2 linked regions of the Nothobranchius furzeri genome follow. The protein of the gene in region 2 purifies or fractionates together with the protein of the main gene of each other region. This does not show direct contact. Links are inferred from orthologs where the notes say so. Each region holds a gene or a part of one and is shown on either strand. Other genes may lie near its edges.

Evidence for each region. Proteins that work in one complex are often made in the same cells at the same time.
Region 1: the proteins of polr2k (region 2) and polr3b purify together in Homo sapiens (affinity purification with mass spectrometry; 3 studies listed by BioGRID and IntAct, with this or other methods). This does not show direct contact. The link is inferred for Nothobranchius furzeri from reciprocal best matches to the Homo sapiens genes POLR2K and POLR3B.

The regions. Positions count from the first base shown.
Region 1 is NC_091744.1:73,552,060-73,555,716, forward strand, and holds part of polr3b (DNA-directed RNA polymerase III subunit RPC2), read right to left. Parts: coding exon 3,560-3,657; intron 2,447-3,559; coding exon 2,293-2,446; intron 2,206-2,292; coding exon 2,131-2,205; intron 1,913-2,130; coding exon 1,814-1,912; intron 1,721-1,813; coding exon 1,593-1,720; intron 501-1,592; coding exon 291-500; intron 227-290; coding exon 68-226; intron 1-67. UniProt on the Homo sapiens protein: Catalytic core component of RNA polymerase III (Pol III), a DNA-dependent RNA polymerase which synthesizes small non-coding RNAs using the four ribonucleoside triphosphates as substrates.
Region 2 is NC_091759.1:1,441,149-1,443,792, reverse strand, and holds polr2k (DNA-directed RNA polymerases I, II, and III subunit RPABC4), read right to left. Parts: upstream 1,555-2,644; 5' UTR 1,423-1,554; intron 1,219-1,422; 5' UTR 1,213-1,218; coding exon 1,152-1,212; intron 897-1,151; coding exon 804-896; intron 703-803; coding exon 680-702; 3' UTR 584-679; downstream 1-583. Other genes in the region: stk3 (serine/threonine-protein kinase 3), read left to right, coding at 2,090-2,112. UniProt on the Homo sapiens protein: DNA-dependent RNA polymerase catalyzes the transcription of DNA into RNA using the four ribonucleoside triphosphates as substrates.

The sequences.
Region 1 (3,657 bases), on a different chromosome or scaffold from region 2:
CTGGACAGCCCGCTCAACCTGTTGAGCTGGTGCTGTCACCTAAACATCCGTTGTGGCTGTTACTCACCAGGGGAGCAGATACCGTCAGCATCCAGGATGTTGTGTCTCCATACGGGCTTACGCGTGGCAGCGTCCAGCATGGGTCCCATCACTTTATCAAAGGTCTGGTTGGTGTAGCGACGCAGGGTGCACTTAGCGTTTTTGTAGACAAGGCACCGACCAAACCCTGAAAAGAGGCAAGTTGAGCCTTCTGCTGTGGTTGGGGTTAAATAACGCAGAAAGGCTCTCACCTCTGTCCAGCGAGGCCTTGTTGAGGACCAGAGCGTCCTCAATGTCGTAGCCGCTGTAGCTCATGACGGCCACGGTGGCGTTCTGACCTGCAGGCAGTTTCTCAAAGTCAATCAGCTCGATGGTTTTTGTTTTAACCATGGGCCTCTGAGGATAAACCAGCAGGTACATCAGAGTGTCGATGCGGTTCCTCTGGTTGTAGCCGATAGTTCCTAAAAACAAACAAACAAAAAAACAAAAAGTGGATGAGGAATAAATCATTAAAACAGCCTGAAACATTATCAATAAGTAATTTCCAGTTTGGCCATTTAATCTAATTTCAAAGGGGCTCTGGGGAAGACCCAGGAGAGTTATGACATAAAGCCTGGCCTCCCTGGAAGCCCTGACATTTGTCAGATGCTATTACCTCACAATCAGGCTACAAGCTCAGTGGCTGATAATAGGCTCAGGCCACACAACCAGATTTGCACATGTAAAGAGCTGCCCACACAAAACAGACAGGACAGAGGATATTAGTCCAAATATAGTTCCAGTCAGTGTTTTTGTAAAGGTGGGGGGAGGGCAGGAGCGGATGGATGGAGGTGAAGCAGCAGCCAATCTGTGTGTGTGTGTGTGTGTGTGTGTGTGTGTGTGTGTGTGTGTGTGTGTGTGTGTGTGTGTGTGTGTGTGCGTGCGCGTGTAGCTCTTACGAATGCTAGCCGGGCTGTTTGGGGAAGTTTTGGTTACCAGGGAGCTTGGGGTGCACACTCTGTGGGCTTTCTGCAGCTGAGCACACTGACCCCCCGAGCACAGCCAGAGCAGACACAATGAATTGCTAATGACACTCTGGGTGACTGGCAGGGAAAGGGCCTCCGCACACACGGCACAAAGGAAAACCTACGCAAGCGCCCCATGTTTGATGTCCATGCACACACACACACACACACACACACACACACACACACACACACACACACACACACACACACACACACACACACACACACACACACACACACACACACACACACACACACACACACACTCAATCACACATCCAAATGTATTCTGACAAGAAGTGGTGCAGCCGCAGAGCTTGTTCATGAAGAACCAGCAGGGCTGCTTGTATCCACCCTGTTTGTTATTCTAATGTCCTTTTTAACTCATGCAAATAAAAAGTTTAAACTCTGCAGATTTAGGAGGCTTGAAAACGGTGTTCATGTAAGATTAGAATACTGCAAGTGTGTGTGTGTGTGTTTGGGCGTACAAAGGGAGCGGCTCAGCTGTGTGTACGATGTGAAACTACCTGCTCAGATCAGGCTTACCCATGGCCTGCTTGCCCATAGCGCACTGGTACGTGTTCCTGGGGGACTGGTTGTGGTGGGGGTAGGGAATGAGGCCCGCACACACTCCGAGCAGCGTGAAGGGCTCGATCTCCAAGTGGGTCGTGTCTCTACAAAAAGGGCGTTTAAAAAGCAGCATGCCAGGATTGAGACAAACAAGGAGGGACGCGCTTCAAAATGTCCGCTTTCACGTTTCTACTCACTTGTTGATCATATGTTCATACAGAGCAATTTGGCAGTCGTTCTCCTCGTTCACATCCAGGTACTCCACCAGGCCTTCATGAAGGAAGTCCTCAAAGGTTCTGGAGACAAGTTAAAGAAAAAAATCATTACAATGATCAAAGAAATGATCAAAACAGGCTGTTTAAGGATAAAAATGGACTAAAATCTAATTTATGCATCTAGAGAGATTAGAAGGGGTTATGTCTGGTCTTATAATAGATCTGTTTTTTAATTAGGCCCGGTGTTGCCTAACTAAATTAAATGCTGACGTTTACCAAGAAGCTACCTCAACTCTCACCTGTAGCCTTGAGACAGATCTTCAATGTGTTTATTATTCACCATCGTCTGGCCCTTCTTCACGATGATGTACGGCCTGCAGGAGAAACGAAAAGTCATTTGAAGCCTTTAACGCAAAATAAAACAAGATTTATAGATATTTGTTTCTTCCAGCCTTGCCCACCTGCAGAGTCTACCTCCGTCAGATGAGATGTAGACGCAGCGGTCGGTCAGGTTGGTGGAGATGGACACAAACTCGTTGATGAAACCCGCCCGGCGCATGAGTCTGAAAGTGTTGACCAGCTTGTAATGGTCTCTGATCACACCCAGAATGTTTCCTGTGGACACAAACATGAGAGAGCGGTCAAAGTATAAAAGAAAAGCCGTGGTCTTCAGAAAGCCTGGAGACCTCACGGTCAGGACGACAGGGACATTTGGCTTCTCGATTCGAGCGAGATGACTTCAGGAGGAGCAGGAGCATCGAGCTGCACGTAAAACGACGGCAAACTGCACAGAGATTGAAACACTTCGCGACTAAATTTCAAAAAGAAAATTTGGCTTAACTGTTGCTTACACACCTCTCATGACCTGGCGGCCATATTTGAAACTTCTTGCAAAACCCAATTCCAGCACAAATCCTGCATGAATTCTTGCAAACTAGTCAGCAACAGTCTCCGCCCAGTGAGACACTGGATTCAGGAGTTTCCATCAGTAATACAGATGTTTTACAACAAACAGTAATGTGTGCAGTAGAGCTCGATTCAACTGTTTGATCACAGATGTGCTTGAACTCAAGGCTGCTGCTCTCTTCCGGTAGTTCAAACAGAGCACAGGCGGCTCAGAGCTTTAACAGTGTCTTTAACGTTTCGGCAAACGACATTTCTGAGTAAGCATTTCTGTCTCCTTTCACGTATAGTAATAATGTGCGTAAAGATTCAGAAAATTTAAAGCCTTTCACTCAAAAAAAGCACAAAATTCTGACTCCAAACTTGAAGCGTGAGCCGTGGTTTTGCACCCTGAGCCCTGCTGCGAGAGTGGAGTTTAAACCTCCTGCAGGAGGCTTGTTCATATCGGGTGGAGAACAGAGGTCTACCTCAGTGTGCACGTTGCCTCTGAACGCACCCTGAAGGGCTCCGGCACCTGCTGCTAATGACTAATTAAAGAGCATGGCAACTAATATAATGTGACAGTTATCAGTGCAAAGACAAACAAATACTGTAATTAAATGTCCGAGTTTTGACTAGAGAATAACACCTACTGCTGCTATGAAATTAAAAACTTATCAGCTCCTCTGCTAAATTAAACAGAGTATTTTCTTCTTCATGTTTATGAAGCAAAACGTGTTTAAAACGAGAAGAATTAGCATTTCTTTTAAAAAATGATCTGAAGCAACAGCAGGAGGTCTTAATTCTGCTTAATAATTCAGCTCCATTGGAGGGCGGGAGTTGTACCGTTGAGGAAAACCAGGAAGACGCTTGGATAGGAGAGCTCCTCCCCACACAGCAGGTTGACGTCTTCCACCCCAAGGTTGAAGGCCAGTTTTATAATG
Region 2 (2,644 bases):
ATTTAGACACTTTTTTTACAATCTTCTTCGTAACTAAATATTCTTGTTACTAATTTCTTCTCTTGCATGTTTGATTAAAACAAGTCTCACTTAGAAATGAGACCCCATAATTTAACAAGATTATGAAAATTTTAAAATAAACACGACAACGTGCTCTCAGATAAACAAACCAAAAAACATTGGTGAATCTGTGAATTGTTGGCCAGCAGATGAGAATTTTCCTTCTTAGAGAAATGTGGTTAAAACTTTGAATTTAAATCCTAAAGGTTGATTTTTATTTCAGGAATGACTGTGGATCATATCTATTTAGCAGATGTGTTAAACTAACTGAAGAGTTTTCATCCTGTTAATGTTGCTGGCCACAAAGGATTTTAAAAGAAAACAGTCAAATCAAACTGATTTTTCTAAAATAAAACTTTTATGCATCATTATTATTTACTAAAATAACATAAGGAACACCTGACACAAACCGCGGATGCCAAAAACCAAAAAGGCTGAATTTATCTTGCTGCTCTAAGATGTTTCAGCAAGAAGTGCAATTTAGGAATGCCACGACCCGAATGAGCGAGAATCTACACCAACATGAAAGCTGAAGCCCCAGTTTATGTTTATTTACAAGGTCAGACTCAATAAAAACAGAAAACAACAACTAAAGATCAATCTGCAGCTCCACTCCTCTTCATCGTGCATCAAAAACAACCACTGGAATCAATGAGTCAAGGAAAATAAGCACACACACACACACACACACACACACACACACACACACACACACACACACGAGAGAGAGAGAGAAAGGATACATCTCTTTGTTCTCTTCTTGTACATGATTCTGTAGCCACATTCTCTGCATCTGATCGGGTCGCGGGCCTTTATTTCGTTTTCAGTGTGACACTCTGCATAAAAAAAAAATATATACATTTATAAAGACATATAAATGTATTTCAGAACTGCTGCAAAATTAATTTAGAACAGTATAATTGTGCAAACACATTAACAATCGACGTTTACATGCTGTCAGGCTAAAATGGAATATTTACTAATAAGAAATATGTTTTAATTAGTCATAACTAGTATTTTTCTGATGACTTTTCTATATTTCGTGAATAAAACCATCAAGAATTGCAATGATAGTTGCTTCATCAGCAAACCTCCACAAATGTAGATCATTGGTTGCTGCTTGGGCGGCTGTAGATCTTTCTGTGTGTCCATTTTGTTCTATAAAAGACAGAAATGTAAACATTTCATCAACAACCCTTCTTCTTGTTAGCATGCTAACAGAAACAGCATGGTGCTCCGGACATTAGCTCAAAACTGCATAAACGTCTCTGAATTTGGTGAAACTGTATACGCACAGAGCACAAATTAAACCGTGTACATGCATTTAGTTAATTACTGATGAAAGGAAGCGAAATGACTCACCGTTTAACTGCGTAATTTGGGAAATGTTTACTGTTTTCACACACTAAACCATCCGCTTTTACGATTGGGTTTCTGCGCTTGCGTCAAATTTCTTCTTCTTGGTTTTACAGGACGATCGACACGCTTTACGTGCCTTTACTGTCACCCAGCGGTTTTGAGGCATTGTGAATTATTCGAAACACATCTGAACTGATTTTAAAAATTGGAAGCAAAGAATTTTTTTTTGTATATTTTATACTAAAAATGTTCCTGTCTTGACACAACATCCTCTTGAAAGCAAATCCACAACACGGGTGTTTCATTTTTCAATTACCGTTACGCTACAAATTCTGGCTTAATTTAGTATTCTTTTGGGACCTTATGAATAAATTAGACTTTATTTAGAGTTTTTGTTTTTGACTCGAGCCAAACATTGTCAATCTGATTCGTAATTGTGTTTTTGTAAAATAAAACAATGTAAAGTGCGCTTCCGTCCCGACAGGGGGCGCTGTCGCAGCGTCGAACACAAGAATGTCCATCATTTGAAGAGCTCCCCCCAGCTGGCCCTCCTCCACTAGTTTGTGACAACAACGAATCTGCCGACAATGTCCACGTCTTGACTACCACTGACAAACCCGCGCTCTCTTTTTCATACTTTGTTTGACTTTTGTTTCCGAGTTGGTGTACCATGGAGCCGTCCGCGCCTAAAAGGTTTGTGAACGTTTGCTTTGAGACCTCTGCTTTACCACCAGGCTAATGTAGGCGGTAGCTCAGGATGCTAATGCTAAGCGAATTCAGTTCTCTCAAACTTTCCACAGAGATAAACAAGCAGAAAGTAAAAACACAAAACCGGTTAAAACCTCCATTGAGATTATGGTTTGTTTAATTGTTTAGACGTTTTTGGATTTCGCGTCGTTGGGGGTGATTTCATTGTCGCTTCAAAAATATATAATAAATTAAATGTGTATTAAGGAAAATCATAATTTATTCGAAGTAACTGTTTACTTTATTTTGGACCGATCTATTTACTGGTTAGCTTAAGCTAGCACCTTTTAAGTTAATTAAATTTAAAATGTATTTAAATTTTATAAGACAGTAGGATTAAATTGTTTATTATCTGTTTAATTTGTGTACATTGATACTAGGTTGCATTAAATCCAGATTATGATCAAAGACCAAAAATATCTCAAAATTTTTTTAAACAGTATTTTTATCTAGATTTCATCAATTATTTTCATCATTC